Pelodiscus sinensis: one gene and its partners. The protein of the gene in region 2 purifies or fractionates together with the protein of the main gene of each other region. This does not show direct contact. Links are inferred from orthologs where the notes say so. Each region holds a gene or a part of one and is shown on either strand. Other genes may lie near its edges. The genes, in order: BYSL, CSNK1D, VPS13B and FAM110B.

Region 1 (7,444 bases), on a different chromosome or scaffold from region 2:
CAACCCCGATGATCAGTTCTAGCAAACTCCACAGGGTCGAATGCCTCTGTGATTGCACCATGAAATACAATGCAATGCAGACCTTGGTTGCCAATGGTGGAGGCAGCGGTGTGGTAGGTCTCACAGTCCACACAAAATGTTCCTTGTTTCTCCGCTCCCAGTAGCTCCAATTTCCTTGTTAGGATTTCAACTGTCTGCTGGACGCTCTTTCCCTCCGTCACGGGCATCTGAGACACACTATCATAGAAGAGAAGGAAGCAACAGAAAAGATTCCGTATTCACATATGGAGAATAGGGATGGAACAGTTTAACTAGTTAAATGTTTACCTGATACATGTGAGTTTAATGGCTGCACTGCGAGCTCCTGGCCCCACTTCCAAGGAGCCGGCTGCTGCCCTGCATAGCAGCCTCTGACACAGATACAGCAACACAGGGTGGCAACCAGCTCCCTGAAGCAGGGTGGTAGGTGGGAGCAGGTATGGGCTGGAAGCCAGCTGCACTGCAGTCTCTGCAGCAAGGGGGGCCAACCCGCGGCTTGCGAGCCACATGCGACTCTTCAAAGGAAAAATTGCAGCTCTCGCACCCGCGGCTGTTCTGCATTCCCGTGCTCTGACCTTTTTCCTTGTCTGGTCAGGGTGCCGCTTGGGACAGCGAGAGCTGACGCTGCGGCCAACAGAAGCCTGTCTGGGCCACGTGCAGCTCTTAAAGGGGCAGCGTTGGGGTTTTTTGGGGGGGTTTTGGTTCAACAACTTTCCGGCCGACGGCTGTTAAAGGGGCAGCGGTTCCCCCCCCCCCCAACAACTTCTTTCCCTTGGCTCTTTGCACTGTATCCACCACTATTTTGGTTCTTTGTCTGTAACGGGTTGACCACCCCTGCTCTGCAGTATAAACTTAGTACTGCAGAGCCCACAGTGTGTAACGGGTAAAAAATGTTAACGGCTACACAGTTACCTAGTTAACTACCTTTTAATATCCCTAATAGAAAGACATGGTAACCAAGTCAGAATCCAATTCAGCAGTCAATGTACTTATAAAGTCTATAATAGAGATCAGAAGCCAACATATGAGTTGCTGGATCTGTAGGGTACTTGCATACTTGACTCATGCACTTCAAGGCCAAGAGAGACCATTGTGATAGTCCAGTCTGACCTCCTACCTAACATAGCACAGAGTATGATAGAGTAATTCTTCCATCAAACCCATATACTTCTATTTGAGCTATAGCATTGCTTTTAGAAAGACTGCTGATCATTAAAGAGACCGTTCAGAAGCAGGATTTGAACCCATGCCTGCAAAGGAAGCTAGAACACCCAGAAAAGGATAAAACAGCTTTGCATATGGCTTCTAGGCCGCTCAAACATCCCATGGTTAACAGACATTTAAGAGACCCCCTAAGGCAGACACAGCAAGTATTGGCACCACACACAGTACCACAGCAAAGGGTGCCAAATACCAGGACAGACGGGACACTGTAAAGGTAAATTTTCCTTGTCACCCTATAAACGTATAAACTGAGCATCACACAAAAGAATCTGTTTTACACAAGATTTTTGCCGTTACAGTGATAGACCCAGATAACCAAGAGCACATTTGATCCCATATTATCCATGGAGCAATTCTGTTTCCCGCTTAAGTAGTATAAATCCTTGGTCTCCTGTTTTTAAATACATACCCTCCGTGCCCCTGATACCGACTGCAATACCAGTTATCCCTTTAGTTTATTTTACGAGCTGCAGTATTGACATAGCGTGTCGGTAACATGCCCTAGCTAGATCCCTGTCAGAACATAACCCACCTCCCTCTTTGCATTCCCTGAGCAGCGGTGTCTCTCTTCAGACAACACCCAGTCAACCTGTGGAACTCCCTGCCAGAGGATGTTGTCAAGGGGAAGTCTATAACATGTTCTAAAGAACTAGCTAAGTTCATAGAGGATAAGTCCATCAATAGCTATTAGTGAGGACGGACAGGGATGCAAAATCATGCTCCATTTGTCAGAAGCTGGGAACGGGCAACAGGGGAGGGATTATCTGATGATTCCCTGTTCTGCCTATTCCCTCTGGGCACCTGGCATTGGCCACTGTTGGAAGACAGGACACTGGGCTTGATGGATCACTGTTCTGATCTTCCTCACACGCCTGAGCAAGAACCCGGCCTCAGCCACGTTCTTCTCTGCTGGGTGCCTTCTCCCATTATTTCCACCTGGCCACATGTGACGATGAGGGATGTCAATGCGTAGTCAACTACACGATTAACCAATAAGCCTGGACTTATGGGTTAATCTTGTTGACTACATGCAGCGCAGAGGATGAGGGGGGTAGGTTGGAGTCCATACGCACAGGGAGCAGGCTTTCAAGCAGCTTCCCCATGAGTGCTGGCTCTGGGGACCTACCTGACCCCCTTTGCTGCCTCCTACAGAGGCAGAGAGGAGGGGCCAGCCAGAAGCAGGTTCCCCCCAACATCAGCTCTGTGGAGCTGCCTCCCCCTGGCGCTGCTGCCTCTATCAGCGGCAGTAATGCGGGGGTGGGAGAGGCAGGGGAGGTTGCTGTGAAGTTGGCTCCGTCCATGGCACCCTGGGCTTGCCGTGGACAGAGGCTGGTCTGCATCAGCAGCTCCTGTCCTTTTTTGGGGGGGAGGGTCCAAGCTCCCCGTGGACAGGGCCTGCTGTCGCAGACCAGACTCTGTCTGCAGGGAACTCAGACCTCCCCCCCCACCCTACACGGACAGGGGCTACTGCCATCCCACGCTGCTACCTACGTCTTAGAGGCAGCAGCATGGGGCTGCAGCTAGCCGGTCTGCGCAGGGAGCTGTTTTTTAACTGGCTTCCCTTGTGAACTTGTTCCCGCCTGCCATCCCCTGGTGCTGCCTCTGATACAGAGGCAGCAGCCTGAGGTAGTAGGGGGTTCCCCAGGTGTGGGGCTGGGAGAGCACTGGCTGCCGCTGCCACCCCCGCCCCCAGGGGCGATCGAATAATCGTGTAACTTCTAAGATTTCATGTGCTTACACAACTATTGAATTACACAATATTTAGCATCCCTAGTGAGGCAGGATAGTGGTGCTGGCTCCAACAGTAAGACAAGCCCCAGCCACTGCAACACAGGCTCGAGAAGCCGCAAGAATCAATGCAGCCTGAAAACGCATCTGTCAGCTCCTCCTGCCACAGAGCAGCTCCTAAGGACTTAACCTCTTAGGGCTCAGCGCAATGAGCTCACCCTGCTGCAAATCCTCAGCCCTCCCTCTCCCGCAATTCGGTGCAATGCTAGATCAAAGCTGCCGAAGCAGAGCTGCTCCTTGCAGACCCCCCCGTCTGCAAACCCCACGCCGTGGCATTAATGGCAAGCCAATCAGGACCCAACCACATGTATCCTTTTTAACCACGCGACATAGAACGTCTCACCAGGTAACTCCCATGCTTCTTGAAATCTTCACGTCGGGCTGGACCGGTCCCTATGCAAGACGGCGAGGGCGAGCTGATACTATCTCGGTTTAAAAATATACTTGCAGCAGTGACTTGGCTAGGGGTGTATCTCTCCGTGGAGGAAGCACACTCGCTAGCTCCAACCCCTCTGCGGTGTCAAGCACCCAGCAGGAAATGATATCAGCAAGAGGGGAGGATTCCAGTCTCTGGCCAGTCCCCCTGCCTCTCGGTAGGTGGGAATTACAAAGCTAGTTCCTCCTAGAGGCAGATTAGTCCCCAAGGACTGCGAGCAGCAGATGGCACTAAATATAAACGGGGGGAGGAAGGGGCTGGAGTAAAATCAGGTTTTAGGAGCCCAGGGGCATGTTAACCACTGATGCAAAAGATTTTAACGAGCCCCAATGGAACTCTGGTGTGGGCTGATCCTATTCTAGGACCCTAAGAATTATGTAGCCAAGTAACCAATATCCCCTGCCCCGCCACCAAGTTGTTCCAGGCTAATGTATCTCAGTGGAGTTAATAGCATCCTAGACACTAAAACTAGAAGGGACCCTGAGAAGTCATCCAGTCCAGTCCCCTGCCCTCATGGCAAGCCCAAGCACTATCCATAACAGATGTTTCTGCAATCTGCTCTTAAAAATCTCCAGTGATGGAGATTCTACAACCCCCCTAGAGAATTTATTCCAGTGTTTCACCATCCTGACAGTTAGGAAGCTTTTCCTAATGTCCAACCTAAACCTCCCTTGCTGCAATTTATGCCCATTAATAGGTGGCTCCAGTCCGTGTGTCAATAAATCCCCCTTCTCTCTGCTGCTTCTGAAAATGGAACTCGCTGTCGCACGAAGGACTCCCTCGAATTGAAAGCTCTGCCTTGGGAGAGGTTCCTAGAAGGCGCCCTAAAATAGCACGCCTGCGCCTTTAAGAGCCGAGACTGGAGACAAGCGTTCATTACGCTGTTGCCAATTTTGGAACGGAAGGACTCCCAACGTTCCAAGAGCGCATGCGCCCTCCCTCTTCCGAAGACGCGCACTGTCGGGCCGCACACGTGCACTTCCCGCAGGTTGCGGGGAGAGCGCTGGGGGATCACTATGCCTAAGGTCAAGCGGCGGAGGGGCGCAGGGGAGGCGGCCAGGAACCTGCCCCTGGCCGAGCAGATTATACAAGGGGACTCGGTGAGGCCCACCACGCGGGTGAAGAGGCGAGGCAGGGGCGGGCAGCATGGCGGTGGGGAGCAGGAGGAGCAGTACGTGGATGAGAAGCTGTCCCGGAGGATCCTGGAGCAGGCTCGGATCCAGCAGGAGGAGCTGGAGGCGGAGCACTGTCCAGGCAAGGGAACCGAAGCGAAGAAGGAGAAGACCACGGTGCTGGGTGAGTGGGGGAGCCGCGCTGATTCTCTTACCGTTGTTTGTGGCGGAGAATTGAAGCGCAGGGCGATCTCTAAGAACAGCGGATTAAAACAAAAGTCCCGGTGTCGTGGGAGGAGGCATTGTGCTGCCCTGGCGGCTGCCTTTGGGATGAGACAGCAAAAGGGACAGGTGTGCTAACCTTGTAGCTTGGTCTGAGTTTTTTCATGGGAAGGCATCCTGCCTCCGTAAATCCCCCCCTTGTATCCATTGTATGTATCCTTAAACTGCCCCCATCACTACAGTATCTGACATCTCTATCATGAAGGGATCTTATCCTTACAGTGATAACCCACACACCGATTGGGCGTGTCTCACTGTCCCATGGAGTGGCACTGAGCCCCTTATGGAGAAGAAGAGTACGTTTCCTCTACAGCCTCAGCTGAGAGCCAGCTGGTTTATAACTGAAGCTGTAGAGGCTCACACACTAAATTCCAAAGGTTCCAGGTTTGGTTCTGTTACACCAGCACCTCGGAGATACTAGAGACAAATAGAGTCTACAGTTGCACAGAGAGATCTAGGGACTTACCCAAAGTCACACAAGAAATCTGACTTAGGAACTGAACCCAGGTTTTTTGAGTTTTAGTGCCATAGTCTATTCAGTGAACCATCCTTTCACCTGGATAATACGTTCTTCATTTCCTGTCCCAAATAATATTTTTATTGTACATATGACAGTACATTGCATTAGTCAGTTTATTTGTCACTTAGGACCAGCTTTTTAATGGTATTGGAGTTGGTCACCGAAATACGTTTTACAGCATGGCCCCTAGTCTGTGATCTTGCAAAACTGAGCAGTTGTATTAAAGCTGATGAGTCTGTGTCTGAGTATAAAGTTCAGTGTGTATAACACACACATCATAATCATTATACCCTCTAATCTTTTCCATCCATGTGCAAAATACATTTTTATGGGCATCGAGGTATATGTGAATGTGCACCACACAACCTAGCTGTGGATGCTCTGCTAATCAGCTGAGTGGCATTTGAATCCCACCTGAGCAGCTGCAAAAGCGCACAGGCTACAGGGAATGCTGGTTATAATCCCCTAAAAAACAGGCGGCGGGGCGGGGATGCACGTATATAGGACCTGAAACCGTTTTTAATTCTTTAATTAATAAAGCTTGAAATATGCACCGTAATATTTAATTGCACATCTGTGCTCCAACATTATTGGCTGGCCACAGCAGTTGTTTAAGCAATTGGCAGAGGAGAAGCACGTTTTGGGCCTGGATGGAAATTCTGATTGCCCCTTCAGATGGACTGCCCCTGGGTATCCCTGGTCTGCCTTCCTATAGTGGGTGGTTGTCTACATTAGAAAGGAGCTGCTGTAAATTCATCTCACTGGCCACCCAGCTACTGGCTCTGCACCCTTATTTGTCCAACCTTAACAGGATGTGGTTTATTTCAGGGTCCGGATTGCGCGATGGGGATTCTGACGCAGAGGATGATGAGTGGCCCGCGCTGGAGAAGGCTGCATCCATGGGAAAGGGAGAGTACTGTGAGGAGGTGACGGTGGACCCTGAGGATGAGAGAGCTATTGAGATGTTCATGAACAGGAATCCTCCGCTAAGGTAGGAAGCAACCCCGATCGCGAGAAATTAAAAGGCTGCCCCCCTGATTAGCAGAGGGCCTATAGCCAGCCTGCGTTTTCTATTGGTGGTGCACATCCGCACATGGCACGGTGCACGCAATAAAACTTATTCTGCACATAGATGGAAACAATTGGAACATTGCCCCTGAGCCAAGGGATGTAAGTGTTTCTGTACTGGGCCCAACTGCGCTGCACTCGGATAGCATTGAAGTTTAAAACAGCGCTTTGAAGAGGTTACGTGAATTCTAGAGGGTGGGTTTGGTTGAAGGTCCATCACTCTTCCACAGCTGGGGAAACTGAGGCATAGGGGAGGATTGTTTTTTGCCCAACCTCTTAAGGCAAGTCAGAGGCGGAATTAGGAATAAAACTCAGGATTCCTGACTCTCCTGTGCCCAAACGGTAGATAATGCTGCATGTCCTCTCCATGGCATATGCATGGGGCCAACCATAGTAACTCCAATTGCTGGAGAGCAGCAGTGGGCAGCCTATGACCCATGAAATATTTTGTTACCATTGCCCATACGCGGGGTTGCCAGATCCCACTAGTTTCTGTTGGCGTCAGGTTTTTTTCCCCTGCCGGTATTGCAAACGTGACACACTCATAAAACAAGAGCACGTGAGGCGAGGTGTGTGCTGGTTGCACACAGCATTGGCTGCGAGAGCTGTGTGCTCGCTCTGCAACCAATCAAAACCCTGCTACAGTTCATTCGGCATGCCCTGCGAATTCCAGGTACACAAGCGCAGTGAGCAAAATGACCCTATCCCGGGAGGCTATATTGGTTACGACACTCTTGCGGCCCACTGAGATGGAGGGCCACTCCTGCGGCCTGCTCAGTAGCTTAGGTTGCCTGTTGCTGCTGCAGTGCCTAGAGGCCCTGCTGAGATCAGGTGCTTGGTGCTGTACCTGTATTCCAAAGACAGACATACCCGTCATAGACAAGACAGATAAAGGATGGGAGTGGAAATAGAGGCACCAAAGGGGGAGAGATTTTCCCAAGGTCACCCGGCAGGGCAGTAGCAGAGTGGGCTGTG
Region 2 (7,617 bases):
AGCCAAGTATGCATTTCCCCCTTGTTCCCAGACCCTACACCCAAATCCCCTGCACTCACTCCCTTTCCCTCGCCAAGACTCCACATTCCCAGCTTGGTCTGACACCCTGCTCCATACATGAAACTGTTTGTTCTTAGGGGTTCCACGAAATTCTTTCGAGTTTAAAAAGGTTCCATGGCCAAATAAAATTGGGAAACACTGTACTAAGGAAATGCCAACTCAAATGCCTCTGCTGATCTTAGTTATGGCAGCACTGCATGGCACAGCCTCTTAACACAGGCAGCCCCTAAACCACCTAACTCAAAATCAACATCTTAAACTCCTTCAAGAAACCTACAGGTAGCCAGGACAGAATCTGGAGCACAGGTATTATACGTGCATAACAACATATACCACCTTCCTCACACAGTCTTCTAAATGAAGGCATTAACAGAGCCCAAGAATCCTGAGCTGTCTCTATATACACTGCAGACCATCAGCTAGAAACATTCAGACCTCATTATACATATGTTCTCTTCCAAGATAATCACTATTCAGTGCCTGTGAACAAACTATTTTAATTTAGAATTTGAGGAACAGCGGTCCATTGGAATAAGAAATACTGTACTGTAGAAAGTAAATTAATTTGCATACAGATGATATTATTGCAATAACATACACAAATTGGTGATATTCTTTTTAATCTAAGTGTACTAGGGAATGGTGCCCCCTGCTTCCTGCACTTGCCAACCCCCCTCTGGGGGGGGCAGCCCCAGTTCTCCCCTTGGCCACCAGGGAGGGCAGGCAGCAGCCTTGCCAGCCCAGGCCCCTTCTCCTTCCCTCCGTGCCCGTTAACCAGGGCCCTTTCTCTCTCCCCCACAGTCTAACCGTAACCCCCATGATTGGCTGAGTATCCTGTCAGGCCTGGCACAAATCCCAGCAGTTCTTCCCCTTCCCCCAGCACTGTGGAGGGTCCACGGCCACCTTGGCTCTTCCCCCTGCCCCTAGGGAGGGCCAAGCCCTGGGGAGACCCTGCCTGCCTTCCAGCAGGCATCTCCCATGTGTGCTGTGGGGGGTGGGCTTCCTCCCCCTCATTCACCAGGAGGGGCTGGGCCCAATTTTCCCTCTGGCTCCATCTCTCCCACATCCCCTCCACGCTGCTCCAGCCCTTGCTGCACCAAGCCATGTGTTCTCCCTGCCCTCCCGCCCCTCGTGCCTCTGGTACAGCCAGCCCCAGATCGGGAAGTGACAACTAGTCGACTATCTGATTAGCAAATGATTATCGGATAGTCGACTGCTCGCTTCCCCCCCTTGCTGCCTCTATCAGAAAGAGGCAACAGGGGGGGAGAGAGAGGAGGGAGTGCTTCAAAGCCGGGCTTCCTGCAGCACTGCTATTTTGAAACACCACATGCAGCCTGGGCCAGCTAGGGTGCCCCCAGGCTGCACGTGGCATTTCAAAGCAGCAGCGCCAGATGGAGCCCAGGATCAGCTGGGGACTCCCCCACTGTCCCCAGGCTCCATGCAGCACTGCCGCTTTGAAACACTGCATGGAGCCTGATGCTGAACTCCCCATGGCATTTCAAAGCAGCAGCGCTGCACAAAGCACAGGGTCAGCATGGGAAACCCCAGAAGACTCCAGGCTCCACGCAGCATAGCCGCTCTGAAACACCATGTGCAGTCTGATGCTGGGCTCCCCACAGCGTTTCAAAACGGCAGTGCCACCAGGAACCTGGAGCCAGCCCACCTGACCCTCAGCTCTATGCAGCGCTGCTGCTTTGAAATGCAGGGGGTAGCACAGGGCCAGTGGGAGACTGCTTGGTCCCCCGCTGGCCCCATGCTCCTTGCAGTGCTTTTGCCTTTGAAATGTAGCAAAGCAGACGTGCCCTATCGAATAATCGATACAAATTTAACATCTTTAGCCCCAGCTCAACTCAGGGGATGGACTGTCCCCCACTCCAGGCCCCCTCTTCCCCCAGAGCTCTGTAATTTTCCTCCCTGACTTCCCCCCCATGCCACCAGCAGCAGCTTACTTTTAGAGCCACTGCTGCTTGGGAGACATAGGTTGCAGATCCTTGCTGGATTAGCAGCAGCAGGGAGGACAGGAGGAGGCAGGGAAGCTGAGGGGGGAGGGACACCGAGTGACATGATTATGTCCCAGTAGAAAAATCTTTTAAAATATATAGAGATTTCTAGATTTCCCAGCAGTTGTAGCAGGATGGTATATGTTTTCTGGCTCATATTTCAAAGGCTACTCCAATTTTTAAAAGTAGACACCTATGATAACATGTTACCTATGGGGTTTTTTCAAATTCTGTATGTAGCATGTTAGCAGGGGTGTCTGCTTATCAACACTAGAACAGCCTTCCAAAGACAAAAATCCAGAGACCTGTTATTCCAAACCCATTAAAGACGTGTTTAAAAGGGTGCAGTTTCTCAAGTCTGTTTATGATTTCAATGAACAGAATGCAGAGGCTCAGCCCACTGTAACCGACACGGTGTAAGCACAAAGCAAGAGACTCCCTGCCCAGAGGAGGTCACACGTAGGCCGGGCGCAGTGAGCGACACGCACGAGGCAGGCGCACAGGGCCTCAGAGGCCGAGCAGGGCAGGAGGGACCCGCAGTGACAGCAGCCCCGACCGCTCCAGAGCGATGACGCGGCTGCTGCAGCCACGGGCCGGACTCGCGTCCAAGTCACCAGCCCCCCGCCGCGGTTACAGAGCGGGCAGGGCGAGGGCAGCCCGGCCACGCCCGCCCCGGGCCCCGGACCTGACACCCGCCCGCGGCCGGGCCCCGCCTCACCGAGGTAAATGTCCCCGAAGGAGCCGCTGCCGATCTTCCGGCCCAGCCGGTAGCGGTTCCCCACGCGCAGCTCCATGGCGGCCGCCGGCCTCCCGCTGCCGCTTAGAGCCCGGCGGCCCCGGCCACCATCGCGGCCGCCTCGCGGACGGGCGACTCTGGCTCGGATGGACGCGGATTCCCCCGAGCTCCGACTCCCCTCAGCGTCTCAGTGCCCGGGCCGCCATACTGTGTGACCTCACTTCCTTAGCAACGGGGGCGGGGCGCCCGGGGAGGAAGAGGGGGCGGGCCTTGGCCTGGATTCAGATCCTGCTCAGGGCTGGGGGGTTCTGTGCCAGGCCGGACCTGCGGGGCTCCCGCCTCCCCTCACACAGGGCACCTGCCGTCCCCCACAGGGCCGGGGGGGCCACAGGGTTCATCCCTGGCAAGCTCCCATTGCTATTCCCCTGAGTTTCCACAGGGCCCGGCAATCGCAGCTCTCCTGGGGCTCGGCTCACAGGTGCCGGACAATGGGAGTTGTGGGATGCCCTGGCCTCTCTGTGCCACTTCCCACTGCTCCCATTGCCCAGGAGTGGCAAGCCGTGCCCAACGAGGGTGGAGATTACCAGTACGCAGGGAAATATAGTGGCAGCAGCCCACCATGGACTAACTCTGGCGGGCCACTGGGTTTTTTTATTGTCTTCCCCTGACACAGAGGAACAAGGAGGGGACACAAAAGAGCACCCCATTGAGCAATCAGTGTTTTGGCAGAGGCACAGTTGCCTCTGTCCCCTTCTGCTCTTTGCACAATCCCTTATGAAAACACCAAGGCTACATCTACACTGGCATGATTTTCCGGAAATGCTTTTAACGGAAAAGTTTTCCATTAAAAGCATTTTCGGAAAAGAGCATCTAGATTGGCACAGACACTTTTCTGCAAAAAAGCCCCAATCACCATTTTCACAATTGGGGCTTTTTTGCGGAAAACAAATCTGAGCTGTCTACACTGGCCCTTTTGCGCAAAAGATTTGGGCAAAAGGACTTTTGCCTGAACGGGAGCAGCATAGTATTTTCGCAAGAAACACTGATTACTTACAGTAGGAAGTCAGTGCTTTTGCGGAAATTCAAGCGGCCAGTGTAGACAGCTGGCAAGTTTTTCCGGAAAAGCGGCTGATTTCCCAGAAAAACTGGCCAGTTTAGACACAGCCCAAGTTAACTATAAGCTTTAACAAAGTAATCCTATTGATCCTAGATGTGTTTGGAGGTGCATGCAGGTATTGATCTGTTCAATGGTAATCTGGACTTTTCATGGTCCCTGTCATACTGCCATCATCATAATCTGGGCTTCTGACTATAACACAGTCAAAGAGGGGCCAGTGTTCAGACCAAAGATGTTTCAGGTCATCTTAAATTTGTTACTCTGCCTTACGCTGGTATTTGTGATGAACTGATCATGCTTCACACATTTGCTGAGAATAACATTGGAGTTTACATCTCCTGCCTCTTGTGCCACTCCAGAGCTGGTAGTCCCATCTGACTCTGGCATTGTGGAATGTGTATGTTTAAGGCTTGTAATAGCTGATTGCGGGCCCATGGATGTAGTACACAAGGAGGCTGGGCTGGCTGATAGGGAGGAGACACACTATCAAGAGGGTTTTACAGTAACAGGCCTCTGTTGCCCCTGACTCAGCCCCCTATGCCTATTCAGCTTGTAGCCATGGTGTGCTCCCGCTCCCTGTGGTGCCTGCACCACTGCTTCACCTCCTGCCCCACACCAGCTCTGCTCCTTGACCCACACAGTGATCACAGGCAGGTGTGGTGCCTTACTAACTAGCTGGGGGAAGGGTTTGGGAACTGCACAGTTATCATTGGTTTGGGTGCAGTGCTTGCTGAAGGAAGAGTTTAGGTGATGCACACTGTGATGTGGGGGAGGGGGTCTGGTTCTTCACAGTTGCTGGTGGAAGAGTTTCAGGGATGCAAATACTGATAATTGGTGAGCAGTGCAGTGTTGCATAGCTAGCTGAGGGAAGGCATTGAGTGATGCATACGGTGATCAGAGATAGGTGTGGCCCCTAAGGTTGCCTGGTGTCCAGTATTGATCTGGACAGTCCGGTATTTTCACCTCCTGTACAGTAAAAAAATTCAGAAAATACCTAAAATGTCCTGTATTTTCTGATTTTTTCCCCCTGCCAGGAGGCGAAAATACCGAACACCTGGCAACCCTATGACACACTCAGAAACTGGGTGGATCCCCCCCCGCAAACCTCCACTTACCTGGTTCCACAGGGGCTTGTCTTATAGCTGAAGCAGAAAAACAAGGTGGCCGCTGGCAAAAAAAAGCCTCTTCTTAAAGGGGCCCTTCTGATTTTTTTTTTCTTAATAACTGCTGTCGGGGTCCTTTTTCTTTTCTCAACAACTTTGGTCTCCTTTTTTTTTCCTCAGCAGAATATTTTTCCTGGTGGGTTTTTTTGGGGAGTGGAGGAGGTGTTTGGTACTTTTGATTAAACCATCTGGCAACCCTAAGCCCCACACAAGTAGCGGGCTAGCTGGGAGAAGCACAGAATGATCATGGAGGAGTGTGCAGTACCACACTAGCTACCTAGGGGAAGGGTTTGTGTGAGGCAGACAATGAGAATGGGTGGGATGCAGCCCCACACAGCTGGGGACAGGGTTTGGGTGATGCACACACAGGCTGTGTCTACACTGGCGGCTGCTTGCTCAAGAACATCTTGCGCAAGGGTTCTTGTGCAAGAACTCTTGAGCAGGAACACATCCACACTGCCATGTGCGAGATGTGCTTTTGTGCAAGAGCATCCGTGGCAGTGTGGACGCTCTCTTGCGCAAGTAAGCTCTGATGGCCATTTTAGCCATAGGGCTTTCTTGCACAAGAAACCCCTGCTGCGAGTCCACACTGCCATCTTGTGCAAGATCTCTTGCGCAAGAGAGCTTACACCTATTAGAAAAGAGTGTAGCTCTTGCACACGAAGCCCTCTCTTACCACGCCATACTGTAAATCTTCTTGAGCAAGAGTAGGTGGGCAGTGTGGACATTCTGTGGAAGAACGGCTGTTCTTGCGCAATAACCTGCCAGTGCAGACATAGCCACAGTGATTACTGTGGTAGGTAAATCAACACACACCTACCTGGGGGAAGGATTTAGGAGGCACACACATTGATGGGCGGAGGGGTGCTATACTAGCTAGGAAGGGGAATGGTTTGGGTGATGCACAGAGTTATCATGGGTGGGTGTGGCACCACACATGCTAGCTAGGGAAAAGGCTTGGGTGACGCACTAAGGATGTCATAGTGTAAATGAGTAAATGGTTAATGGTTAGCCTGGGCTCTTAGGTTAACCTCCATGGTTCCATGCACCCTCTCCTCTCCTCCCTCCCCACCTCTGCATCAGAGGCAGCAGCACAGGCAGGGGCAGGCAGAAGCTGGTGGTTGTGGGGAGCCAGCTTTTAAGGCTGCTGCCTCTGTAAAAGCCAGCTCACCTCACACACCAACTCCAGCAGAGCCACCTCTCCCCGGTGTGTAAACGTGTACTTGCTGAACATTTCAGTGGGTACCAAAACAAATTTTAACATTCCTATGTTACACACCATTATAATGGGGCGGGTTGGGTGGGTTGCGGTACAGCTCACTGTGGGAGATGCACACACTAATCATGGGTGGGATGTGGGTCTGCACAGCTACGTGGGGGAAGGGTTTGACTGAGTAATGCAGTGCTTGTGGGAATTGGGTGTGGCAATGCACAGGTAGTTAGGGGAAGACTTTGGGGGGGGTCACATGATCATGGCTGGGTTGGTGGTGCACAGCTCGCTAGGAGAAGAGTTTGGGTGACACACAGTTATGGTGGGGGCATTGCTGGGGTATGGCCCAGCTAGCTGGGAGTAGAGTTTGGGTGACACACAGAGATCTTATGGCAGGGGTTGAGTGCAGTGTTGCACAACTAGCAAGGGAGAAGCAAGGGTGCCACACACTGAATATGGGGGCGTGCAAGCTGTAGAGCTAACTGGGGGAAGGGAGTGGGTGTGGAACTGTACTAGCTAGCTTGGAGAAGGGTTTGGGAAATATACATACTAATGACTGGAGAAGGTGTGATCCCATCCCGGTAGGTGGGGAAGGGACTGTGTGCTGCACAGAGTGATCACGGCTGCGTGCAGACCCTCCATACATTGGGTGATGTGCAGTGATCTCTGGGATGGGTGTGATGCAACCCAAGTAGGTGGGAAAAGAGGATTCACCAAAGGTAAGCCATGCCTGACCAACCTGATTTACTTTTACTTTTGACTCTGCATATGGGGAAAGTAGTGGACATACGATATATTTTGACTTTAGCAAAGATTTTGATACAATTTCCCACAGTATTCTTGCCAGCAACTTAAAGAAGTCTGGCCTGGATGAACAGACTAAAAGATGGATAAAAAGAAGGATAGATTGTCAGGCTCGGCGGGTAGTGATCAATGCCTCAATATCTAGTTGATAGCCAGTATCAAGTGGAATACCCAGGGGTTGGTCCTGGGACCAGTTTTGTTGAATATATTCATTTATGACTTGGATGAGAGGCTAGATTGCACTATAGAATCATAGAACTGGAAGAGACCTCAGAAGGTCATCAAGTCCAGCCCCCTGCTCTAGGCAGGACCAATTCCAACTAAATCAACCCGGCCAGAGCTTTGTCAAGCCGAGACTTAAACACCTATAGGGATGGAGACTCCACTACTTCCCTAGGTAACCCATTCCAGTGCTTCACCACCCTCCTAGTGAAATAGTTTTTCCTAATATCCAACCTGGACCTCTCCCACCACAACTTGAGACCATTGCTCCTTGTTCTGCCATCTGTCACCACTGAGAACAGCCT
Region 3 (7,288 bases), on a different chromosome or scaffold from region 2:
TTTGTGTTCATGAAGTCCCAACCTATTTGCATTAGAACCAATAATAAGCTTGTACAATATGTAAAAAACAAAGCTGCATGACAGAATGGGGGGCCATATCCTTACATAACACTTTACAGGAAAATAGTAATGTCTGGATCTAAATAAATCCCACCAATTTATAAACTCACCTTTTGCTTATGACCACAGACTGATTAGAATATTTGCTTAGACTGAAAAAACCAAAAATTGTTCAAAAATTTATCCACCCTGGTGCTATCTACCAGGGTGGATAAAAATCAATAATTTTAAAAAAAACTTAAAATTGGATTTTTAATTAAAAAACCACTAAATTTCTCATTTAAAAACAACAATTACAATTAAATCTTATCACAAACACTTAGTCTCATAAAAATGAATTAATGCTTCAGTCTGTCCAGCCTAACAATCAGCTCTTGCTCCTTGAAAGTTCTGGGCTTTCAATTTTTGTTTCTCAGCAGACTAAGTAGTAACATATACAAATTGCACCTCCCTTAACCAGGACTCTCTTCGTGAGAGAACCCTGGAGTGAAAGGACCAGCAGCTGGGAGGCCAGTGGGTCTGGTAGAGGAGAAGCTGCAGCAGCAGTGCCAGGGCAGCCCGGGTGGTGGTGGAGCACTATCCGGGCTGCCTGCCACCCAGCAGCAAGGCCAGGACCATGGCTGCCCAGGAGGGGAAGCCTGTCTGGGGCTGCATGAGCCCAGATGGCAGCAGGGCCATACTATACTGGGCAGTGGCAGCGGGCTCGCAGCTGCCCAGGTGGCCGTGGCAGCATGATTGGGGCTATCTGCCACGCAGCAGAGGAGCCGGGGCTGCAGCCACCTGTGACGGCGCGTTGGGGGTCCCCCGTCTCCTGCATCCCGAGATGGCACAAACAGACTCCACCAGCCAGTGGAATTGAGGGTGGTTTATTGCTCCTCCAGGATACAACATAGCACAGATGTAATCTGGTTACAGGAACTGGGGGCTAAGAGGCCTCAGTGCCCCCCTTGAGATAGGGGAATCCAGCCCCCTCCCCAGTTCCTTCTCTCCTGCTTTCCAGCCAGGAACTCACTCCACCACTCCAAGCCCTGCCCCCAGCCAGAGCAGCATTCCACCTCCCTTTGTTTCTCCCCATGGGGGGTTGGTTCAACCGGTATGGAGTCACCTTTGCATAATAAGGTTTTCCCTGCTGGGTCTTGCTCCAGACAGAGGAGGTCACCACAGCCCAGCAAGTACCCCCACTACGTCACACCACCTCAGCCCAGTAGGGAAAGCCAGGCCGTGGCAGCCCAACAGAAGCAGCACAACCAGACCCTATGCCACCTTGCAGGCAGCAGAGCTAGGGCTGGCCAGGCCAAAGGATCCAGCAGTGGGGAAGGGCAGCAGGCTGAAAGGCTGATGTCAGGGGATTTCCCACTGTTCAGCAAATTCCCTCATTCGGGACCAGTCAGGTCCCAAAGGTGCAAAACCAGGAAGGTCCAACCTGTACAATAGTTTAAAAACAGACCTCAGTCAGCAACTCAGGAGACAGCTGCAATTTCAAATGTAAGTTTTAGTTTAATAAAATTTAAGTGTTATTGTGTTTGTGTGTATGATTTACTTCTTACCATTCCTAATGTACTGCTGCTACTTCTGCAAGTTGGCACAAGTAATGAGTATTATGTACTATTTCCTATTAATAAAAATCAAGTTATGTAAAAAAATTATACAAAGTGTGCCCTCTTAGATATTTTAAAATACTGTACTGAGCTGTACATGTCTTAGTTACCAGATTTGCACGACAGTTTGAAGAAATGTGAAGTAGTATCAGTGGGATACTTGATTTAAATCATGATTTAAATCAATCCACCCTATTATCAACAGTCAAGTTCAATTTCCTGCCACTTCTGGCATACCAAAGTAGTTTTTTTTAACAAATCCAGTTACATATAATTTGCATTTGGCATAGCATAACTTCTGAAATAGTTAGACATGCAATCTTACTTTTATGACTGTCCAGCATATAACACAATATTACATCCGCTCATTTGGTACTACACAAACCTATAAACACACATAGCAGAATTTGATTTTTATTTCTCTTATAATCCTGATGGATAATACTGATGTTTATTTTTAAACATTTTTCGAAATTGTTATCTAATTAAATTTTCAGTTGTAGAAAATCACAAGAGTGGTTTAGAATCATTTAATGAAAGTAGATATTCAGATTCAAAAAGTTAAAGCTTATAAAAATTAAATCACAAACTGTCAACTGCTCTTGTCAAAGATTCAAAGTAAACATCCTGAAATCAAACTGTAGTAAGTTCTGAGCAGCATTTTTCTTACTTTGCTTATCTGTACATTTCTATTATTCTGGAAGAGAATTTTTGTAGGTTTTTCTACTGTGATGTTAACATTTGCCAATGAAAACCTAATTGTTCCATGCTTATCTGTAAATTAACAGCACTCACACACACCCCACCTGCCTCCAAAGCTCCCACCAGCCCCACTCCTAAATACACACTCCCGCCCTCCACCCCACCCGCTTTCATCCCCCCACTGTGTCCTGCCTCCCGCAACACTCCTACTTGCCCCTCGCCATCCCCTGCCCCAGCATCTGCCCCTCATCCCGTCCGCCCCCCAGAGCTGACTGACCCAACCTCCCCCTCCCCCGTGAGTAACGGTAAATAGTGCTGGGTAAAACCCCCAGCCGTCACACGCTACCCCCGCCCCACGCCCCAGCCCCACACTCGCCGCTACCTATCTACCAAGCAAGCAAGCCCTTCTCACTACTACCGCCCGTCAGCACGGTCCCCCCTTCCCAGCACGACCCCCAGGGCCCTCTCCCCGCCGAGCCCAGCCCCGGACTCACCTGCGCACAACGTCCCCCTGTGCGGGCTAGTAGCCGCGGCAGTTACCGTTTGGCCGGGCAGTTCCGGTTGGTGTCCTCCCTCACGTGCTCCCCGCGGCTCCGGCGCGTTGGAGGCGCAGGCGCGGTTGTGCTGCCCGGCCGGAAGGGTCGGGCGGTGACACCGGGAGGCGGGCTCGGTTGGCTTCCATGCGGTAGCTGCGTGGCTGGGGATCGGATCGCTGGGGCAGGGTGGAACTGGTGCCGGGATTAAAGCCGCGTCGGGTGGCGATGGGAGAGGGTAACTGGTACCAGGATAAACCCCCTCCCCCCGTAGAGAAGGTAGTAATATGGCCTGGGATGGGACTCGTTTAACCCTGTTTTGGGCAGCGCTTGTTCATGTTTAGGAGCTTTGCCTGTAACGGGACAGGAGAGCGCTAGAAACGCCTGAGCAGCAGCTGAGAGGGTGGGTGTGCTGTGAGAGGACAGCGTTTGGAACTGCTCAGTCTCCCCATGTGTGGTGTATGAGACGACGTTTCTCTCTAACCCAACAGAAAAGCTTCCCTTATTGAGTCAAGTATCAGAGGGGTAGCCGTGTTAGTCTGAATCTGCAAAAGCGACGAGGAGTCCTGTGGCACCTTATAGACTAACTGAAGTGTAGGAGCATAAGCTTTCGTGGGCAAAGACCCACTTCGTCAGATGCATGTAGTGGAAATTTCCAGAGGCAGGAATAAATATGCAGGCCAGGATCAGGCTGGAGATGACCAGGTGGATCCAATCAAGGAGGATGAGGCCCACTTCTAGCAGCTGATCTGGAGGTGTGAATTCCAAGAGAATAGAAGCTGCTTTTGTAGTTAGCGAGCCATTCATAGTCTTTGTTTAATCCAGAGTTGATTGTGTCAAACTTAAAGATGAACTGTAGCTCAGCAGTTTCTCTTTGAAGTCTGGTCCTGAAGTTTTTTTGCTGCAGGATGGCTACTTTTAGATCTGCAATTGTGTGTCCAGGAAGATTGAAGTGTTCCCCTACAGGTTTTTGTATGTTGCCATTCCTAATATCAGATTTGTGTCCATTGATTCTTTTACGTAGGGACTGTCCTGTTTGGCCGATGTATATAGCAGTGGGGCATTGTTGGCACATGATGGCATATATTACGTTGGTGGATGTGCAGGAGAATGTACCAGTGACAGTATGGCTGATCTGGTTAGGTCCTGTGATGGTGTTGCTGGTGTATATATGTGGGCAGAGTTGGCACCGAGGTTTGTTGCAAGGATTGGTTCCTGAGTTCGAGTTATTATGGTGCGGTGTGTAGTTGCTGGTGAGAATATGCTTCAGGTTGGCGGGTTGTCTGTGGGCAAGGACCGGCCTACCTCCCAAGGCCTGTGAGAGCGAGGGATCATTGTCCAGGATGGGCTGAAGATCACTAATGATGCGTTGGAGAGGTTTTAGCTGGGGACTATAGGTGATGGCCAGTGGTGTTCTGTTGGTTTCTTTCTTGGGCTTGTCCCGTAGCAGGAGGCTTCTGGGTACACGTCTGGCTCTGTCAATCTGTCTCCTCACTTCCTCGTGTGGGTATCGCAGTTTACAGAATGCTTGTTGAAGGTCTTGTAGGTGTAGGTCTCTGTCTGAGGGGTTGGAGCATATGCGGTTGTACCTCAGTGCTTGGCTGTAAACACGATCCATTGTTTACAGCCAAGCACTGAGGTACAACCGCATATGCTCCAACCCCTCAGACAGAGACCTACACCTACAAGACCTTCAACAAGCATTCTGTAAACTGCGATACCCACACGAGGAAGTGAGGAGACAGATTGACAGAGCCAGACGTGTACCCAGAAGCCTCCTGCTACGGGACAAGCCCAAGAAAGAAACCAACAGAACACCACTGGCCATCACCTATAGTCCCCAGCTAAAACCTCTCCAACGCATCATTAGTGATCTTCAGCCCATCCTGGACAATGATCCCTCGCTCTCACAGGCCTTGGGAGGTAGGCCGGTCCTTGCCCACAGACAACCCGCCAACCTGAAGCATATTCTCACCAGCAACTACACACCGCACCATAATAACTCGAACTCAGGAACCAATCCTTGCAACAAACCTCGGTGCCAACTCTGCCCACATATATACACCAGCAACACCATCACAGGACCTAACCAGATCAGCCATACTGTCACTGGTACATTCTCCTGCACATCCACCAACGTAATATATGCCATCATGTGCCAACAATGCCCCACTGCTATATACATCGGCCAAACAGGACAGTCCCTACGTAAAAGAATCAATGGACACAAATCTGATATTAGGAATGGCAACATACAAAAACCTGTAGGGGAACACTTCAATCTTCCTGGACACACAATTGCAGATCTAAAAGTAGCCATCCTGCAGCAAAAAAACTTCAGGACCAGACTTCAAAGAGAAACTGCTGAGCTACAGTTCATCTTTAAGTTTGACACAATCAACTCTGGATTAAACAAAGACTATGAATGGCTCGCTAACTACAAAAGCAGCTTCTATTCTCTTGGAATTCACACCTCCAGATCAGCTGCTAGAAGTGGGCCTCATCCTCCTTGATTGGATCCACCTGGTCATCTCCAGCCTGATCCTGGCCTGCATATTTATTCCTGCCTCTGGAAATTTCCACTACATGCATCTGACGAAGTGGGTCTTTGCCCACGAAAGCTTATGCTCCTACACTTCAGTTAGTCTATAAGGTGCCACAGGACTCCTCGTCGCTTTCCCTTATTGAGTTGCTCTCTATTAACCTTCACAATGAGGGAGGAGGACTGGGCAGGGTGGGTGGGTGTCTCTTTTTTCCCCACCCACTGTGTAATTTGTTTAAAATACAGTAACTTTATAAAATACAGATAACTGAAATAACCATGCTCAGTTTTAAGTATGATGTGTAATACACTCTATAATGGGTTTGGCCACAGTATCCTCCTGAGACTGTCACCTGATGTGCTGTTCCTACAACTGAGCTTGCCTGTCCAAGTGAGCCAGAGCCTCTGGTTTCCCTTGGTGAAGTCAAAAGTTGGGCTCACAGTCCACAGCAGAGCACACAGACACTGATATTCACTCATCTTGGGGAAGACTCAAGTCAAAGGAGCTCAATACAACACTCAGGTGCATAGCCCTTATGGGACCAAAACCCCAGAAAATCCATCTCACTGTGCATAGTGTTTGTATAACAGAGTGAACCCCCTTTATCAGTGAAAGAGATATGCACAACTGCTCTCCCACCCTCCTTACATCTACACAGGGTTTAATAGTAACAGTGATGTTATTAAGTATAACAGGTAGAATTTAGGTGGTTGTAAGTAATAACAGACGGATCAAAGCAACTTATACACAAAATAAAACATGGCACCTAAGCTTAATACTCTTAAACTTGTTATGCAATTTCTTAACCTAACAGTAGTTCTAATGACCTCTTCTCACAAGCTAGGCAGCCTCCCACATTACAGATCTTTCCCCATGTGCAGTCTTACTAGTTTCTAGCAAAAAAAAAAAAAAAAAAAACCCAACAACTGGTCTAGTAGCACTTTATAGACTAGGAAAACATGTAGATGATGTCACTATCTACATGTTTTGTTAGTCTATTAAGTGCTACCAGACCATTTGTTGGTTTTTTTCTATAACAGACTAACTTGGCAACCCCGGATGTTCCTAGCAGTCATCTTAGTGGTAACCAGGAGTCTCCTCGCATCTAGCACCTGTCCCTGTTGTTTAGTTCCATGCTTTTATATATATATGCTGCCCAAGGCAGGAATATTTTGTGTTCAGTTCAGACTTTTTCACCTTGAGTGTAAAAGTACAGTGTCCAAAATGGTTTCCAGCCTGGTTACATGTCTTTGTAGGTCCAACCATAGTCCAGGCTCACAGGACAAGCAAGACTATTCACAGCTCATTGGTTCAAATACTGGGCTATTAAGTTCCATAAGCACCACTAATGACACTGAGCAGATCTAGTTCAGTAAAGAGATATATGCTTCATATTTCTATATTTATTTTTACATCAGAAGCAGGAAGCATGCTTAACAACCAGTGGGGCCACTGGACAATTGAGATGCTAAAAGAGCAAGCAAGGATGATAAAATCATTGTGGAGAAACTATGAATTCTTTAAAAGCGACGAGGAGTCCTGGGGCACCTTATAGACTAACTGAAGTGTAGGAGCATAAGCTTTCGTGGGCAAAGACCCACTTCGTCAGATGCATGAGTGGGTCTTTGCCCACGAAAGCTTATGCTCCTACACTTCAGTTAGTCTATAAGGTGCCACAGGACTCCTCGTCGCTTTTGCAGATTCAGACTAACACGGCTACCCCTCTGATACTATGAATTCTTTGAATCAATCTTCAAGGCTGAGGATGTGAGGGAAATGCTCAAATCTGAGCCATTCTTTTTAGTTGACAAATCTGAGGAACTGTCCCAGATTCAGGTGTCATTAGAGGAAA
Region 4 (7,560 bases), on a different chromosome or scaffold from region 2:
TATGTACAATACATTTTAATTTGTATCCTATTATTGGTTAATACTGCAATTAATCTCATTTTTTAACTCTGGTTAATCACAGTTCATTTTTTTAATTGTTTGACAGGCCTAATTTAGAGCAATTCATTCTTACAGGAATTGCCTTCCTCATTTCAATGTAATGCAAGCCTGTAGGAATGGATTAAATTGATCTTTTCAGAACATTTAAAAGTGAGGCACTTACTCTAAGTCTACCCACACACACTAAGCTGTGTAAGTGCAACATCTTCTATTAACTACATGCAACAGATTTTGTGTGTAGGATAAAAAGTGATGTAACATTGCTGTAACAAATTAAAATTTACACTTTTATATCAACATCCCTATGAACCATAGTCTACAAATGTTCATTAAGCATCAATATATTAGAAAAGGTAAAGACACAAACATTTTACAGAAGTGGAGATTTGAGGCTTAAAGGTTTAATTACTTTCCCAAGGTCACCCAAGAAATTTATGGAAGAGTTAGGAATGCAACACCAATTTTTAAAATCAATAGCTACATTATAGAAAAACCTATATTTCCAGATATCATGTTAAGCCTTTTAGGCAAGAAAACTAATGTTGTCATTTTAAATACAAGGGATAATTACATATAATGAAGCCAATCAGTGTCAGTGTGTCTGAGATAAAAAATTGATCACACTTAGGTTATCTTAAACACTGATATAATAGGGATCAACATGCAAATTAAATGAATTTTCACATTAAGTTACAAGTTTAAATGCACATACTTTTTTCAGATTCTGTAACATTTTATTATTGAACATTCTATTTTCTTAGACTAGGTTTTTTAAATAGTCTGTGAAGGAATGAAATATCTCCTCCCTGCTAGTGATCACACATTATTAGGTCATATGCCAAATCACTACCTTTCCATCAGTAATGTAAAAAAAAAACAGACTTCACTGAACTCTGAGCAATTGCTCTGAGCAAGTATTTTCTAAGAGTCTCTATCTATATCACAATAATAGCAGGAAAGGGAATATAGAAAAATATCCCAGTACATTTATTTTTGGTAAGTCTTCTCTCTTCCCTCACCTTAAGCTTCCTCCCTTGAAACAAAAACTAGTCAGTAGTCCTTAAAAAGCCAGACCTAATTTCATGTAATGTTGTGACAGATGTGTACCAGATTCTGAACAGGGCATAAGCTTGACCTAGAGGAAGAAGCCTTGTGCTTTGCCCTGCATCAGAGAGAAAGGGAATTGGAGGAGGAAGTATGCACTTCTTTCTGAGTCAGAAAAAAACATCTGAAGAGTTAAACAGCTACTCTCTGAATTTCTGTCTCCTAGGCCATGTGTTTTCCCTTGATATTAATGAAGAATTTAGGAATAACTGAACCATTTTATTTCTGAGCAGTGTTATGGTGAAAAAACAAGGTTGTTGGGGGGGGGGGTGTTTTTCAAAAAAGTTGTGAGGCTTGACCTGATACTGGAGCTACAACCACCTGGTTTTAAGTTAAGAAGAATAAAACATTGCACCATAATTTGTCAATATGCAGAGGCAGTTGGGCTTACAAACACAGCAGGGGTTTCCCACCACATTGCTGCATCTTATCCTGAAAACTATGCACTACTGAGATAGACGAGTGGAAAGGTTGTTTTTCTCCCTCCCCTACTCCGAAGCCACCACTGCTGCTTACAAACACCGAGGAACGTGAGTATATTGAAACATTCCTAAAAGGGCCCAAAGTGGCATTAATCAGATGAATGGAAACTTTCAGAGAGACACGTCCAGCGACAGCCTCCCAGCTACGCACCAGGTTCCTGCTGAGTGTATTTGCGCCCGTTAAGTTTAGTATCAGTGATCAAGTCCCTCCAGCAGCACACATCTAACCCTGCAAGGAAAATCCATCCCAAAACCTTCTGCCCAATCTCTCCATCATAACTTTTCTACAAGGGCTGTAAACTTCCTCTGCACACGCACAAAACCACCCAATCCTCCCCCCCCCCCCCTTTAAAAAAACAGCTTTCCGCTTCCCGAGTTGCTGGGGAAACTTCCACCTCCTGCTGTCAGAACCCCAGACCCGAACCAGATCTTACCTCGCAAGAGGAAAAGCTGGAGACTGGGAGAAGGGGGGGGGGGGGGACTGGGGGGGGGGGAGAACCATCCAGAGGCGCACAGATGTTCTTGCAGAATTATGCTGGGGGTGGGTGAGGGGGGTGTGAAATGGACGATACCTCCAGAAACTAGCTCCGGGGCTATGTGCCGACAGCTCAGCCTCCGCGCAGAGCTCTTGCCCGGGGAGAAGGCAGCGGGAGCTGCAGCTACTTTGCACAACAATGAGCGCGTGCAGCGGAGCGGCGCCGAGCGCTGCCTCCCCCGGCTCCCGACTAGCCCGCCCGCAGCCCAGCCTCCCCGCGCGGCGCCCTTACCTTCCCTGCAGGGCACCGCCGCGGCTTTGCCTGTAGCTGCCGCTCCCGGCCTCCCGCGGTAAGCTGCCGCCGCCGAGGGGAGGAGGCGGAGGGGAGCAGCGAGCCGCGCGGCGGGCAGGCAGCGCTTCCTCCCGGCGCTGAATGAAACTCTCCCGGGCGCTGCTGGCGGCGAGGGGAGGCAGGGCAGCCGGGCTCTTCCCACCGCCCCCACGCGCGGAGGGGAGCTACGGGCCCTGCAGCGCCCCGCGCCCCCTGCTCCCACGCGGCTGCGCCCGCCTCCTGGCCTTGCTTTTGCTTTGCCGAGAGGAAGCGGCCGCTCGGGAGACGGCCCCGCAGGTCTGGCGGCGCGGCCCGGGCTGCAATGGTTTCGTCCACGCTGAAATGGGGAGGGACGGGGGCGGGAGGGCTGCTACACACACAATGGGCTGAGCTAGCCAGGCTCTGGGCTGCAGCAGCTGGGGGGGGAGCCTCAGTCGAGCCAAGCGCAACCAAGCCGGGCTCTGCAGCACAGACGCGGCGGGCAAGGGGTCTTAGCTCCGCGGCGGGCAGCCGAGGTCGGGGCCAGGGTTCAGGGCTGGCGCCGGGCTTTTCCACCGGCACACACTGTCTCTGTGCGCGCCCGCACACGCTCTTGTGAAACTAGAGTGGCAGCTGATTAGCAGCCCCATGCCAGTGCTAGCCCACGATGACGTGACCCCTGCTGCCCACATTTTAATAGCGCGGTCTCTAAAGGAGTAATGGTGATAAAAAATAATGGGTAATAATCTTGCCCCATTGTAAAAGAGTTTTGTTATTGGCGTCAATGGGGCAGCGTTTTATCCAGAAAATCCTTCAAAGGGGGAAGGGGAGAAGGAGCCAGAATTTCATCCAACAGATCCTGGAAAGTGGGCCCCAGAAGTTACTTCACTATGAAATAGATGGGTTTTAGTGAAATACCACTGAGCCAAGATGGGATGTTTCAGGCAGCATAGGGGGAATTTTGAAAACATGTGTGGCGGTAAAAGCAACGCTCACTTTCCCTTGGTACAAGAAATGAGAAATTCATGTACCAAAGCAGTTAATTTTGATCATTGTTGATTGGGCTATGGGGTATGTTTTAGTCAGACTGCACCAGTGAAAAATCTAAAGGAGCTTCATTGGAATGGAGTCAACTGGTTATGTTGAGTATTGAGAGATGCATATGACACAATGGGCTACAACCTCCGCTGCTGTAAATCAACCACATTGACTTCAATGCCTATTTATGTCCTCTGAGGAACTGACCAGTAGTAACTCCTAATTTACACTAAGCTGTTTGTTACATAATTGTCAATCTTAGTAGCGCAGATGGTAATGAATATTTATTTTGCACTCACAGCAATCATCTTTGGAATGTACAAAAGCTATAGCATCAGAGAAGTAGCCGTGTTAGTCTGAATCTGCAAAAGCGGAGAGGAGTCCTGTGGCACCTTATAGACTAACTGAAGTGTTGGAGCATAAGCTTTCGTGGGCAAAGACCCACTTCGTCAGATGCTATAGCAAATGCAATTCTTACACATAAACTTTGAAGCTTGTTTAGACTTGTTTTTCTGGTCTGTGCCACACACATGTACTGATACCTTTACTAGTCACATATTTACTAACTCATTTACCCTCATTTCCTGTTCATTTACACATCCAGGTGTCCATATGATTGTTCTTACACACCTTTTCTCCTTTTCACAATACTTAATCATTCTTCCCCTATGCATACTCCTATTTTTCTACATTTCTAATCTGAGCCCTTCACCCAGTTCTCTGGCTGAGTTTGACTTACTGTCCCTTGATGCAGGTTCTCACTCCTTTTGCAATCACAATAGATCCCATTCATTAGAAGTGAAGTTTAATTAGGTATATATTGCGTAGGCCTTCTCCTACAGACATCTGCATGAGAAGAGCACAACCAGAATGGCTGTGTACAGTGGTCTCTGCACCCTCCTACATTACATAGGGGAGGAGGCAGCCCTGAACACAATGACACAATGGAAGAGGGCTGAGAGAGTGTAAACAGCAGCCCTAAATGCAGATTCAGTGACCCCCCAAAAACCAGTGTAGGAGTAGCAGCTACTATTACAGCTAATATATTTGATTATTAGCACATTAACCTAGTGTTGCTCAGGTCCTTAAGGAGGGGCTCAGGGCTGAGAGTGTGGGGGTGCAGGAGTCAAGGTTAGGGGTTGAGGAGGTGCTCAGAGCAGGAGGTGGAGGGGCTCAAAGAAGGGGGAGTTGAAGGAGTCAGGGCAGGGGGTTGGGAGGTGTGGGGGGCCTCGGGGCAGGAGGCAGAGGTGTAGTAATCAGGAGGGAGTGAGAAGGCTTTGAGTAAAAATGTGGAGGGCAGGACATTGGGTGGGTGGGGGGCTCAGGGCAGGACTAGGATGGTGGGGAATGCACTGCCTGGCCAGCAACTCCTCAGGGCTGGCCAGGGCTGTACTGGCTAAGTGAAGGCTTCCTTTGGCTGGCTAGAGCAAGGGGGTGTGGTGCCTGGCTAGTGGATCCCAGGGCAGCGGGAGGCCACGCTGCCCGGCTATCAACTCACCAGCACAGGAACCCTACCTGAGTATAGTGCCTGGCAGTATCCACAACCCTGCCCTTAGCCATGCACTCTCTTACCAGTGCACTTGATCGCCTGTGGTCATTCTACAGTATAACCTCCCTTTCCATTTTATGAGAAACAGTCATATTCCAGACACATCCCTTTGTCCTGGGACAACTAAACCCTTCCCTTGCTTTAAGTTATAAGAGAAAGCTGCATACCAAATGTGTTGATCCTAGCTCTTAACATTTAGGAGGAGTTCTTGCACTGCATATCAACAACCTGTTCACAGGTTATTTGTATATATTCCATTACCGAGCAGCAAAACTCCCTATTACTTAGGGTTTATGTGTTAAGAAATGAATATTGTCATACTGAAAAGTAAGCAGGGTCAAATTAAGACAGCACCGGGCAAGATGCGGCCCAGGGGCCAGATCTGGTCCGCCAAGCACTTTGATCTTGCCCGCAGACTACATCTGTCTGCTTTCTATTTATATCCTGCTGTCCATGCCACCGAATTTCCAGGCTGGTGTCTCAGGCAGCAGGATCCTATTTAAATGGCTCCCAGCTTCTAGTTGTGGTGCTACCCTGACAGGGGCCAGAGCCACGAGCCCTTTAAACATCTGCAGCAACTCTAGGCAGCTGCCAGGCAACATGGTAGCTACAGGGATGGGAGCTCCGAGGCCAGGAGCTGCAGTCCCTTTTCTTTGTTTAAATTCTCCAATACCAGATAGCGGTGGAAGGAGGTTAGTCCCCAGCCCTGCCCCTTCTGCCCCAAGTCCCACCCCATCTGAGGGTGGTGGGGGTGGAGCTGGCCCATGACCATGTAGCAAAATTAATTAAGTGGCCCCCTGCAAAAATTAGTGCCCACCCCCTGAATTAAGACATAGGAGCTATACAATCATGGCCAGAGACCCAGATCCTGCAGCCATTTGATTACACCAGAACTTAAACGTTCAATTAAAAAAGAAGGTTTCTAGTCCTCATCATTGGGAATAAAAGCATAAAAATGTGAAACTAGTGTAATAAATGCAAGAAGTTTGGCTGACTCAGCAGAGAGCCTGAAACAATAAGAAAACTGCATCTTATTTATACCTTGGTAGGATAGTAACTCCAAGACCTACTGCTCAGGGGATCCCTGTCAACAACATCCTTATAGAGAACTTTGTGGCAGGCAGAGGGCATACGGGGGAAGGGGAAATATGGTGTACCTCGCTCATCCACCCAATCAGATGTACACTGACTGATGAATTTCTGCCTGTCCAGACTTTGGGAGGAACGCTGTGATGTTGCTTCTGAGGGAAAGAAGTGTTGCTGCCACTACCTTTCTGGAAAAGATTGGGGGGTTCCTCTGCCTTCCCCCTTCTGTTGGAGACAGGGCCAAGGCTCAGGGAGCACAGCTGTAGGGGAGAAGACACAAGGGAGCCCATCTCATGGCATGCCAAGAGCTCTGAATCTCCTTAATCTGACCTTGAAAGTAAGCATTTCCAAACACTCTGGCTATGTCTAGACTACAAAGTTTTTGCACAAAAATGGCCGTTTTTGCGCAAAAACCCAAGAAGCGTCCACAACTCAAGCGCGTTTTTGCACAAGAAAATTTACAGTAGAACGTCATTGTGGTATAGGTATACCTCTTTCTGCGAGGAATAACTCCTTTTGCGATGCACTTTTGAGATGTGGACATGCTTTTGCACAAGAAGTTTTTGCAGAGGATCTCTTCCGCAAAAAGCTTCTTGCGCAAAAACCCTGCACAAAGCCTCTATGAAGAGGCCTACAGAGCTCTTCAATGCTACACAAATATGCCAAAAACTTTCTAAATGTTGTTATATATATACTGTATGTTTTCTGTCCTGTCCTTGATAATGAAACAGAGCTGTCCATCAAATTGTTTCTTATACTATTCACTGACAAATTTACTCCTAAACTTCACATGACGGATAGCTTCATTAAACTGCCACTTTGTTCTTCTAGGAAGAGTGGAATAGTACATTTAATATCTCACCTTAGTCATTTTAGTGTAGCCACTTTTGATTCAATAGCTTTAGAGTCTCATTTATTTCCTTTCAAATTTAAGTACCTTATATTCAGGGAGTTTTGTTTAGGCCATGAAATTTACCTCAGAGCTGAAACCTGGCATGCAGGGCTTCAGTCTGAGAGCAAATTATTGTATAAGTACTTGTAAAAAATCCCCAAAACAAAACTCTAGCAATTTATATTTAACCTTGACATATTATTTATTGATTTATAATTACTGATTTATAAATAAGTCTATTTGAAAACACATTATGTAACAGAAGACCCTCAATCCTGTAAACAGGCATATGCTTAACTTTAGGTCAAGTCTACAAGGCTATAGAAAAAGTTTGCTGCTATAACTATCCTGGCAAACCTTTCTAGTATAGAAAAAGCTAATACTGGTAAAAAAAACTGTTTATCCTGGTTTGGCAAGCAAAATAAGCTATACCTGGCAAAAGTACTTTTGTGTCAGTATAACTGTAGCTAGGGCTTTTGCCAGAGTACTTAAATAAATAATCAGACTGCCACCAATATTGCTATGTTGGCAAAAGTTTCTAATAAGCACCTGGCTTTATGCACT

What was found.
Region 1: the proteins of CSNK1D (region 2) and BYSL purify together in Homo sapiens (affinity purification with mass spectrometry; 3 studies listed by BioGRID and IntAct, with this or other methods). This does not show direct contact. The link is inferred for Pelodiscus sinensis from reciprocal best matches to the Homo sapiens genes CSNK1D and BYSL.
Region 3: the proteins of CSNK1D (region 2) and VPS13B purify together in Homo sapiens (affinity purification with mass spectrometry; 3 studies listed by BioGRID and IntAct, counting the BioPlex papers as one, with this or other methods). This does not show direct contact. The link is inferred for Pelodiscus sinensis from reciprocal best matches to the Homo sapiens genes CSNK1D and VPS13B.
Region 4: the proteins of CSNK1D (region 2) and FAM110B purify together in Homo sapiens (affinity purification with mass spectrometry; 3 studies listed by BioGRID and IntAct, counting the BioPlex papers as one, with this or other methods). This does not show direct contact. The link is inferred for Pelodiscus sinensis from reciprocal best matches to the Homo sapiens genes CSNK1D and FAM110B.

What each region holds. Positions count from the first base shown.
Region 1 is NC_134737.1:9,514,435-9,521,878, reverse strand, and holds the start of BYSL (bystin), read left to right. Parts: upstream 1-4,428; 5' UTR 4,429-4,503; coding exon 4,504-4,783; intron 4,784-6,229; coding exon 6,230-6,392; intron 6,393-7,444. Other genes in the region: MED20 (mediator of RNA polymerase II transcription subunit 20), read right to left, coding at 83-237, 3,395-3,408. UniProt on the Homo sapiens protein: Required for processing of 20S pre-rRNA precursor and biogenesis of 40S ribosomal subunits. May be required for trophinin-dependent regulation of cell adhesion during implantation of human embryos.
Region 2 is NC_134730.1:30,529,706-30,537,322, forward strand, and holds the start of CSNK1D (casein kinase I), read right to left. Parts: upstream 3,021-7,617; 5' UTR 2,855-3,020; coding exon 2,779-2,854; intron 1-2,778. UniProt on the Homo sapiens protein: Essential serine/threonine-protein kinase that regulates diverse cellular growth and survival processes including Wnt signaling, DNA repair and circadian rhythms. It can phosphorylate a large number of proteins.
Region 3 is NC_134712.1:37,054,403-37,061,690, forward strand, and holds the start of VPS13B (intermembrane lipid transfer protein VPS13B), read right to left. Parts: upstream 3,009-7,288; 5' UTR 2,855-3,008; intron 1-2,854. UniProt on the Homo sapiens protein: Mediates the transfer of lipids between membranes at organelle contact sites. Binds phosphatidylinositol 3-phosphate. Functions as a tethering factor in the slow endocytic recycling pathway, to assist traffic between early and recycling endosomes.
Region 4 is NC_134712.1:63,426,503-63,434,062, forward strand, and holds the start of FAM110B (protein FAM110B), read right to left. Parts: upstream 3,006-7,560; 5' UTR 2,414-3,005; intron 2,377-2,413; exon of another isoform or gene 2,219-2,376; intron 1-2,218. UniProt on the Homo sapiens protein: May be involved in tumor progression.